Linked DNA regions of Rattus norvegicus. The protein of the gene in region 2 purifies or fractionates together with the protein of the main gene of each other region. This does not show direct contact. Links are inferred from orthologs where the notes say so. Each region holds a gene or a part of one and is shown on either strand. Other genes may lie near its edges.

Region 1 (5,376 bases), on a different chromosome or scaffold from region 2:
CTGACATCTCTGCTCCTGTGTCCACAGCACCTTGGCACCACATTGAAAACCTTGACCTCTTCTTCTCTCGAATATCCTTTGTGTCTCTGCATAGGAGCTCTTCTACCCTTTCTCTGAGCTAGCTCTCTGATGGGAAATGGGGATAAGCTCCGCCCCAGTCCATGGACAGGGAAATGAAACTCATTGAAATAACAATTGTTAAAAGTAATGATACCTCGTATTAGCGGAGAGCTCTATGCCCTTGTGTTAATTAATGAAGAACTTTTCTAAGGGTGTTAGTTGTTAATGGTAATAATGTCTTTGGACTCTGTCATTTCCGTGTTAAGTAGTTTGTATTTTCCTAGACCCAATAACCCTAAAAGGAGGGTATGTCTGTTATCAATTTGCCACTGTGGGCAAAGCTGAGGGAAGTAACCTGTTAAAGATCACACTCCAGAGAGTTATGGAGCCAGGACTTCAGCTTGAGAGTGTGTAGACATCAACGTCTATATTAAGTGTCTTTGCTTACTGGCCACTTTTTCTTAACACTTACACGTTTATAATCTACATCAGAAGAATGGGTTCACATGTATGCTCATTGGAGAGATTTTTGAACTCATGTAAGTATACGAAGGGATGCATGCTATAGTAAAAGAATAAATATAGTAAATATTCTTGTCTTCCCTTTTGCTCATGCCTGGCTACACGTGCAACTGCAACACAATCCTAGGCCCCAAACTCTACAAACCTTTCTATCTCAGGACCAGGTATAACTTTTTTTTTAAAGATTTATTTATTATTTAATGTATATGCGTACACTGTAGCTATCTTCAGACACACCAGAAGAGGGCATCAGTCCCACTATAGATGGTTGTGAGCCATCATGTGGTTGCTGGGAATTGAACTCAAGTCCTGTGGAAGAGCATTCAGTGTTCTTAACCTCTGAGCCATCTCTCCAGCCCCAGGTATAACATTTAAACCTATAGCCTTGCCTCTTGTAAGAAGAGCTTCCCAGTTTCTATCTCTCACATAGCAAGAACTTACAACTTAGTCACTTCACTAAGCTATAGGAGGAGGTGTGTGTGTGTGTGTGTGTGTGTGTGTGTGTGTGTGTGTGTGTTTTAGTCAGGAGCTCTTGGAGCCTGTATGCTGCCTGACTGCACATTAGCCATGCTGCTGGAGTGGGGAGAGAGAGTCTGGTGTTGCCAGAGGGGAGGATTTGGGGTTTGTTTGTTTGTTTGTTTTTGTTGTTGTTTCATGGTTTTGTTTGTTTTTATTTCTGTTTGGGTTTTTCAGACAGGATTTCTCCAGGTAACCCTGGAGGCTGTCCTAGAACTACCTTTGTAGGTCAGCATGACCTTAAACTCAAAGACATCCACCTGCCTGAGTGCTGGAATTAAAAACATGGGTCCCCACACCCAGCAGAAAAGGAGTTCTTGATGATAAGAAAGGAATTCATGGCTGGGTGTGCTGATGCACACCTCTAATCCCAGCACCGGGGAGGCAGAGGCAGGTAGATCTTTGTGAGTTCAAGGCCAGCCTGGTTAGATCAAGTGAGTTCCCGGACAGCCGGAGGTACACAGAGAAACCCTGTCCAGAAAAACAAAACCAACCAAAGAAACAAAAGATTGCTAAAAGTTTGGGCAATTGAGATGGCTCAGCAGAATAAGGCACTTGTGTGTATCCTGTTGACATGAGTTGGATCCCCAGTCAAAGACTAAAGACCATCATCATCAAACCTCTGAAAATCAAGTCCAGTGGCGGTGGTGGCAGCGGCGGCAGCATTCTATCACACACAATGAAGCAGGCTGCTTCTGAAGTACCTGAACCTAAGAGTAAAACATAGGAGCAAGTTGTGCCATTAAGGTCTTATGAGATTAAGCAGTAGCAGAGGCCATTGGGAACACTCCAGCCCCTTTAATTTCCTCTCTTGTTGAGCACTCGCTAGCCTCTCTGCTCACTGCACTTTATTTCACCAGCACCTCCCTGACTCACGGCCTGCATCCCTCCTTCCCCACTCCCAGGCAGTTCCTCTTTGTGGTTGCCTTCACCACCTTCCTGGTTAGCTGTGTGGACTATGACATCCTATTTGCCAACAAGATGGTGAACCACAGTCTGCATCCTACCGAGCCTGTCAAGGTCACTCTGCCAGATGCCTTTTTGCCTGCCCAAGTTTGCAGTGCCAGGTGAGGATGGTCCTGAGACCCTGCTAATGAGTAGAGGGGAGAGTGGGGTGCGAAGCAGCAACTCACACGCCAGAACGTGTTGCTAAGACTCCATCCTCAAGGACCCTACTTTTGCCCCATCTTTTTCCATACCAGGATTCAGGAAAACGGCTCCCTCATCACCATCCTGGTCATCGCTGGTGTCTTCTGGATCCACCGGCTTATCAAGTTTATCTATAACATTTGCTGCTATTGGGAGATCCACTCCTTCTACCTACATGCTCTGCGGATCCCAATGGTAAGACCGGAAGTTGGACCATTAGCCACACAGCCCAAGAGATCTTAGCAAGGATGCATTCCTGAGCATTACGTGTCTGTAGCTCTCACTGGCAGGTGTCATAATCAGGGTTCTGTTAATATGAAAAAAATGTCTGAGACGATCAGCGTTCTAAAGAGAAAGGTTGATTTTGCCTCCGTTTTGGAGATATTAGTCTATCGTTGGTTGATAATATTGGTTGATTCAGTTGCTGAGGGGCCTGTGCTGAGGGAGTATATCATGGCAAGAGCACATGACAGAGGAAGCCTATTCACTTCATGGCAACCAGGAAGTAGAGAGGAATGCAGGAAGGGGTGGGATCTAAAGCCCCAATTAATCTCGTCTAAGAGCAGCCCCTTATTGGCAAAGGACCAAGCCCTTAACACATGAGCCTTTGAGGGGCATTCCAGGTCTGAACTGGAGCAGGTCAGGAAATAGCTCTAAACACACGACTTACATCTTACATCTGTGTTGAACAACGGGTTCAGCTAACACCTCTGCTCTGTCTCTTGTCCACGCCGTCCTGCAGTCTGCCCTTCCGTATTGCACGTGGCAGGAAGTGCAGGCCCGGATTGTGCAGACCCAGAAAGAGCATCAGATCTGCATCCACAAGCGTGAGCTGACAGAGTTGGACATCTACCATCGCATCCTCCGTTTCCAGAACTACATGGTGGCACTGGTGAACAAATCCCTCTTGCCTCTGCGCTTCCGTCTGCCCGGCCTCGGAGAGGTTGTCTTCTTCACCCGTGGCCTCAAGTACAACTTTGAGCTCATCCTCTTCTGGGGACCCGGCTCTCTGTTTCTCAATGAATGGAGCCTCAAGGCCGAGTACAAACGTGGAGGGCAACGGCTAGAGCTGGCCCAGCGTCTCAGCAACCGCATCCTGTGGATTGGCATCGCCAACTTCCTGCTCTGTCCCCTCATCCTCATCTGGCAGATCCTCTATGCCTTCTTCAGCTATGCCGAGGTGCTGAAGAGAGAGCCGGGAGCCCTGGGAGCGCGTTGCTGGTCACTCTATGGCCGTTGCTACCTCCGCCACTTCAATGAGCTAGAACACGAGCTGCAGTCCCGCCTCAACCGAGGATACAAGCCCGCCTCCAAGTACATGAATTGCTTCTTGTCACCGCTACTGACTCTGCTGGCCAAGAATGGTGCCTTCTTCGCGGGCTCTATCCTGGCCGTGCTTATTGCTCTCACGATCTACGATGAAGATGTGTTGGCTGTGGAGCATGTCCTCACCACTGTCACCCTACTGGGAGTCACGGTGACTGTGTGCAGGTGTGCCAGGGCGGTGCGGGGACTAGCAGAGCGGCCTTCTGGGAAGGGCTCGTGTCTCACCATGCACCTGATCCCACTAGGTCTTTCATCCCAGACCAGCACATGGTGTTCTGCCCTGAGCAGCTGCTCCGAGTGATCCTTGCCCACATCCACTACATGCCTGACCACTGGCAGGGTAATGCCCACCGCTCGCAGACCCGGGACGAGTTTGCCCAGCTCTTCCAGTACAAGGCAGTGAGTGGAGTTGGAGTTAGGGCCTGCTAGAGACTGACTGGTATCTTGGTGACAAGGGCTGGACTGTGTCCTGCTTGTGAGTAACCTGTCCCTCCCTTTCAGGTGTTCATCTTGGAGGAGTTGCTGAGTCCCATTGTTACACCCCTCATTCTCATCTTCTGCCTACGCCCACGGGCCCTGGAGATCATAGACTTCTTCCGAAACTTTACTGTGGAGGTCGTCGGTGTGGGGGACACCTGCTCCTTTGCGCAGATGGACGTTCGCCAGCACGGTCATCCTCAGGTACTGGGAGAGGTCAGGGCAGATGGCCAGGAACAAGGCTGGCACACAGTAAGCTTCGGGAAAACTGCAAATGGCTACCCTTTCCGAGCCGACAGATGACAAAAAGTGTAGCTCGCCTGTGGGCATCCCCGCACCAGGGACACGCGGTTTGGTGACCAGGAATCTGGCTGGATTCCGTCCCTGGTTTGAACCATGAGCCACACTCCCTTAGTATAGTACTAGCGACTGACCTGTATATGGCCACTCTTGGGATGGGCATCAGGGCTTTGACAGATGTGACAATGCCCTGCTGTCTCTGTCCCCTGGAAGGGCTCCTGTAAGCAGTCAGGCCTGCTCACGTCTTCTCCCTTACGCAGTGGCTGTCTGGAGGGCAGACTGAGGCCTCAGTGTACCAGCAAGCCGAGGATGGGAAGACCGAGTTGTCACTCATGCACTTTGCCATCACCAATCCTGGCTGGCAGCCCCCTCGTGAGAGCACAGCCTTCCTGGGCTTCCTCAAGGAGCAGGTGCAGCGAGATGGAGCGGCTGCTGGCCTTGCCCAGGGTGGTCTGCTCCCAGAGAATGCCCTTTTCACATCCATCCAGTCCTTACAGTCTGAGTCTGAGGTGTGTATCTGGGGCCTGGGTGATGATGGGCAGTGGATTGTGGTTAGAGGAATGGCACGGGGCACAGGGTGCAAGATTTTTCCCTGTTCAATCTGGGCTGTTGGGTCCTGAGGCTTAGGACATTGGAGGACCTAGAGGCCTCTCCCTCTCCTGAGAATTCTGCATAACCCCATTTTTTCCCCATAGCCACTGAGCCTCATTGCAAATGTGGTAGCAGGCTCGTCCTGCCGAGGACCCCCACTGTCCAGAGACCTGCAGGGTTCCAGGCACAGGGCTGATGTTGCTTCTGCCCTTAGATCCTTCTCCCCTCTACAGCCTGGACAGGCCCCTCAAGGCCGTGTTCCCAGTACCATGACAGGCTCTGGGTGAGTGGAAGTGGGTCACGATGGGAGGGCGTGGCAGGAGCCCACAAAAACTGGTATAGATCTTGAAAGTGCTGATACCTGTTGTCTTTCTGTGCCGGGAGGGACAGAGTGGACGCCAGGACAGCCAGCTCCGGGAGCAGCGTGTGGGAAGG
Region 2 (5,376 bases):
GGTCAACAAGTGGTGAGTCCCAGACCTGGGCGTCCTCCACAGCCTATTGGGAAACTGGGCAGGGCAGCGTTCCCTAGGTCTCATGGCACATGCTCTACCGTCCACCCTGGCCTAGAGGTGCAATGGGCTGCCTGCCATGGCTTGCTTATTCCTTTAGAAAACATCTCATTGGAACTAGCAAGTACCCATCCTGGGCTGAAGCTGGAGGGCTAGATTTACATGTGGATCTCTGCAGCTGAGCTGTGTGATCATAGACAAGCACCTTGGCCTGTCTTAGCTTTGCCTTCCTAATGGATCTGGAGTCTCCTGAGTTACTGAGTGTAGATGTGGGACAAGCCTTGCCCTGGAAAGGCCCACAGAACGTGGTACTTGGGCTCCACAGGCCTCTTGGCCTAGCAGGAAACACTTGAACCAGCAGCCAAACAGTTGTTGGCCTTCTGTTTGGCATTCAGAGAAGGTTACAAAAGACTTCCAGGCAGAGCAGACACCTGATGTGGTTCTGAGAAGGTGACAGATGTCCCAGTTGGCATGTAGGGTGTAAAGGTTGCCCATAGACTGTTCTGGGACCTTGGGGGCCCAATGGGAGGAGGCTCCACGGCCACCGAAGTTCCAGGGAGGAGTCCCCAGGATGGGGTTTGATCAGACCTGCCTCTGGAAAGCTTCTCAGGGAGGCTGTAGACTTCCCTTCCAGTACAGCAGTTCTTGGTGAGCACAGGCAAACACACAGTAAGTGGGAGTAAGGATGTCTTGGAGATCCTAGCCCTGATCTCTGTGCTGTGTTACCTCAGGCAGGCAGCTCCACCTCTCTGGGCACTGTAGTCTGTAAAACTAACCAGCCAACCATATAAGAGGTAGCAAGAGGAATAAAAGTGGGCAAGTGGGAGTCCCTCAGCTGAGGTAAGGAGCATCAGACCCAAAAGCTTACCCCTTGTGTGCTGTGTCTGCACAAGGCCCAAAAAGAACTCAGAAGGAAGCGTCCTCACTGCACTCTCCCAGCTAGAAGCAGCAGAGACCGTGCTTTCTGAGGAGCAAATGCAGCAGCAGGTGGTGCCAGTCTAGCGTGGCAGCTCAGGAGAACTGCAGCACTGCCACATGGCCAACCAGCCATGCTGACAGCAGGCAGCGTGACAAGACAGGCACTGTCACCAAGTAACCAGGACCTCCTCAACCCTCACCCACAGCTTCCTCATGGCCCCTTCCTGCAGCCATTTCCTCAGGGTAATTCCAAGGAGCAATTCCTGTTTGGTTCCTTTCACTATGCACAGTGACTCTGAGGGTAGAGCCTACCTGGGCGTCCTCATGTCCTGCAGCTCAGAGTCCCATGTCCTGCGTTCACATTCTTATCTGCCCTCAGCTGACCACGAATGGTTTTGTGTTTTTTTTTTGTTTTTTTTTTTTTTTTTTTACTAAGTGTGTGGGGAGGCGAGAGGGATACGGGTATGTGCGAACGTGTGCAGGCGTCCCTGGAGGCCAGAAGTAAACATCAGATCCCCTACAGCTAGAGTTACGAGCACTTGTGAGCTACCCAATGTGGAAGCTGGGAACTGAACCTGGGTCCTCTGAAAGAATAGCAGTGCATGGGGTTGGGGATTTAGCTCAGTGGTAGAGCATTTGCCTAGCAAGCCAAGGCCCTGGGTTCGGTCCCCAGCTCTGGAAAAAAAAGAATAGCAGTGCACTTAAGTAACGAGCCATTTCCCAACTCCTGGGATTTATTTATTTGCTTATTTGGTTTTATATACATACATAGTGTGTATCTGTATATGTATGCATATATGTGTGTGTGTGTGTGTGTGTGTGTATGCACATACACACACATAATTTTTATTTTATGGTTGTTAGTATTTGACTGCATGTGTGAGGGTGTCAGAAGCCCTGGAACTGGAGTCGTGGATAGGCGTGCACTTCTATGTGATTCTGGGGATTCTGCAAGAGCAGCCAGTGTTCTTCATTGCTAAGCCATCTCTCCACCTCCTGTTTGTTTTTTGAGACAGGTTTCTCTGTGTAGCCCTGGCTGTCCTGGAACTTGATCTGTAGACCAGGCTGGCCTCAAACTCAGGGATCCACCAGCCTCTGCCTCCTGGGTGCTGCGATTAAAGGCCTGCACTGTCATTCCCAGCAAACCTAGGATTTTTTAAAAAGACAGGGTCTCACTGTGTTCAGTCTGAAACTTACTATGTAAACTTCCTTACCTCTGCTTCCAAGTGCTAGGATTAGAGGTGTCATACCATGCTTGACAAAGTATTTTTAGCAGGGAAACAGTTTGCTATATAAGTGTGAAGAACTGAGTACAGATTCCTAGGACCCACATAATACCAGGAGGGTATGGCAGCCCGTGATCCCAGGAGCCTGCTGGCTAGCTAGATCATCTGAGGTGGCAGCACAAAGAGAGAGGGGTCGGGGAGAGGGAAAGGTGTTGCATTTGAACTGGGTTTGGTATCTCATGCCTATAACCTAACCACTCTGGAGGCAGAAGGACTGCCGTGAGTTTGAGGCTAGCCTGGGCTACATAGTGAAATCATCACGACAAAGCAAAAGCCTCAGGAATGTTTTTTGTCAGAGCAGGCTGTCCTTAGATACCACAGCACTGTATTGGAGGGCCCTCAGATTCTGGAATCCTGGGGTCCTGGAACAGCCAGATTCTCCATACATCTGTTGCAAGACAAGTCCTTTTGTCTCTGGTGTGGCTCTATTTAAGATTCAGCCACTGGGGTGTTCATTTATGTGGACTGGCTCATACCTGTCATCCCAGCACTCAGGAGGTAGCAGCAGGAGAAACAGGAATTCAAGGCTATCCTTGGCTACATAGTGGATTTGAGATGTGCCGAGGCTCCTTGAACCCACTCCCGGCTTCATTCTCCGTTGAGTGCCCATGGACACACAGCTTCTCTGATTCTCTAGGATGAGCCACTGGGTCATACTTAACTCTGGTGTCACTTTCTGAGGAGCCACCAACTTTGGCTATTTCACAGGATGATGGACAGTGGTTCAGACACCATGCAAGGAGGAAGACCAGGGCAGGGCTATTCCTGTACAGGCTTCAGTGGGATCCCATGAACTTGGACTCCTCTGGGATCAGGTGCTCAGGAGAGCCAAGTGTGCCAGCACAGCAAAGACACTGAGAGGGTCTGCATGGAGTGCTCATAGGGCAAGGCTTGGCCCAGTGTCTGAGGGGATCAGTCCCTCCTTTCTCCACCTTCTGCTGAAGGAAGAGCCTTGTGGTGGGACTTCATAGGGTGAAAATCAGACTAGCCTCAAGTTGTGTCCCTTCACAGATGGTCCCCACCCCTACCTCAGACCCTCAGAGGAAGCCACCCCTTCTTTCCTTCCTAATGCAGGTGCTCATCTGCAGGAACTACCGTGGGGATGTGGACATGTCAGAGGTGGAGCACTTCATGCCCATTCTGATGGAGAAGGAGGAGGAGGGCATGCTGTCACCTATCTTGGCCCATGGTGGCGTTCGTTTCATGTGGATTAAGCACAACAACCTGTACCGTATCCCTATGCTGTGGAGTCAGGCCTTGGGGATGACACGCCTGCCCACCAGCACAGAAGAGCTGGGCAGCCAGAGGACACAGGCCTCACACAGAGGACACAGGGAATGCTAAGTATTCCAGAAGCTGCAGCTGTGGGAGGAGGGGAGAGACACAGGGCAAGAGTGGGAGCCAACTGGGCCTGAAGTTGTCCTCTGGAGATGTGTCATGTTAAATGGGGTAGGTCTTTGGATGGGGTGGACTGGCTATAGGTGGCCTTGTGGTCTAGAGATTTCTGGCTGCTGTGTATGGCCACACTGTCAGGAGCAGGAGTGGACAAATGAGGGGAACAGGGTAGGAGTAGGGGTGGGAAGATCTCATGTGCCCTACATCCTCAGCCCTGCTTCAGCCTCAAATCAAGTGTGATGCCAGGTGGAGACCCACCGTGGCTGCACCCACCACTTTGGGCTTTGAGCAGACCTCTGGAGATCTGGCTGTGCAGGAGCTCTTCAGCTGCCAGTCCCCTCGTCAGTAAATGTGTGCATGCGTGTAACCCCTACAGGCACAGATGCCACCTCTTCCCAGGGACATGGTCTTCCCTTGCAGTTCCTGCCCTGCTCTCCCTCCCAGGCATAGGGTTTTTTCCCTGATGTATATTAGCATTTGTGAACTCCCTTGTAGAGTGGGCCTAAAGTCCAATAGAAAGGTGTTGGTGTCACCCATGATATCTGTGCCAGTAGTGCACATGTGGTGTTTGAGCACACTGGGTCCATAGCTGAGCAGGAGTGTTGATAACTGTTCATCAACAGCCCTCACAGCCCTTTCTGGCACTAGGAAAGCCAACCAGCAGGGTGGGAGTTTCCATTTGGTTCCAACTTAATTTCCCCATGTTCTGCAGTCCAAGTGCAGTGTCTTCAACAATAGGCTCTTACCATCCGGTTCTGCTGTACAACAGCAGCAGCGGCCTGCATGGCTCATGGAGCTTCAGGGTGTCCTGCAGCACCTCCCAGGAGATAGTCTGCCCATGGCACAGGGACTTCACCCAATAACCTGATGACCTCCGCGAGTGTCCTTCTCCATCCATGTAGGGTACCAGTTGGATTTAAACTCTTTACCTGTTTAAACAACATTTTGTTTTTTACTTTTTAAAGGCATCATTTGTAGACATATTTTACCTGCATGTTTGCAGGCCAGAAGAAGGCATTGGATCCCCTGGAACTAGAGTTAAAGCCAGTGATGAGCCACCATGTGGGTGCTGGGGATTGAACTTGGGTCTTCTGGAAGAGCAACCTATGCTCTTTACCACTGAGCCATCTCTGTAGCCCTCCACTTTTCCTTTCAATTATTCAAGCCTCAGCTGGGCTGTAAGGTAGGTAGAAGTGCCATTACACCTGGTCGTCTTCATGTTAGTGAAGTGACTGCTATCACTATTATCTCCATGGATGTCCACACATAACGCCTAGCTGGCTGAGACCTTGGTGGTGGCTTCCCCTGCTGCTCACTTGCATGAAATGCTTGTAGCTGTGCTGTGTTTGCACTGGTGAGAGAGAGTTTCTCATGTCTTTCTGATGTCGTACTAAATCTACAGATTGATTTTATGTATGTGTCCATTTGTTCAGGCCATAATTAGTGTTAGGAGAACACGCAAAACTGCAGACTGCGTCACAGCAGAGCCAGCAGCCTTAACAATTTTCTAACCTGTGTTGGCTTCCCTATGACCAGACTTTATATGGACCCAGTGGGCAGCTTCCAAGGATACCTGAAAGGAAATGGCCCATCCTTGGGTCTACTGTGGGCTCCCTATTTGGAGTGAATAGACATGTATAGCATTCTCCTCAGAAGGGCTTTGTCGGCTTCCTTCGATAGCTCAGTTGGTAGAGCAGAGGACTGTAGGGGCTTTGTCACC

The links. The genes of interacting proteins can lie anywhere in the genome.
Region 1: the proteins of Ap1m1 (region 2) and Atg9a purify together in Homo sapiens (affinity purification with western blotting, with the first as the bait; 3 studies listed by BioGRID). This does not show direct contact. The link is inferred for Rattus norvegicus from reciprocal best matches to the Homo sapiens genes AP1M1 and ATG9A.

The regions. Positions count from the first base shown.
Region 1 is NC_086027.1:84,129,526-84,134,901, reverse strand, and holds part of Atg9a (autophagy-related protein 9A), read left to right. Parts: intron 1-27; coding exon 28-71; intron 72-534; coding exon 535-599; intron 600-2,003; coding exon 2,004-2,165; intron 2,166-2,300; coding exon 2,301-2,442; intron 2,443-2,989; coding exon 2,990-3,738; intron 3,739-3,818; coding exon 3,819-3,972; intron 3,973-4,074; coding exon 4,075-4,254; intron 4,255-4,610; coding exon 4,611-4,859; intron 4,860-5,045; coding exon 5,046-5,224; intron 5,225-5,331; coding exon 5,332-5,376. UniProt on the Homo sapiens protein: Phospholipid scramblase involved in autophagy by mediating autophagosomal membrane expansion. Cycles between the preautophagosomal structure/phagophore assembly site (PAS) and the cytoplasmic vesicle pool and supplies membrane for the growing autophagosome.
Region 2 is NC_086034.1:17,629,331-17,634,706, reverse strand, and holds part of Ap1m1 (AP-1 complex subunit mu-1), read left to right. Parts: intron 1-3,335; coding exon 3,336-3,492; intron 3,493-5,376. UniProt on the Homo sapiens protein: Subunit of clathrin-associated adaptor protein complex 1 that plays a role in protein sorting in the trans-Golgi network (TGN) and endosomes.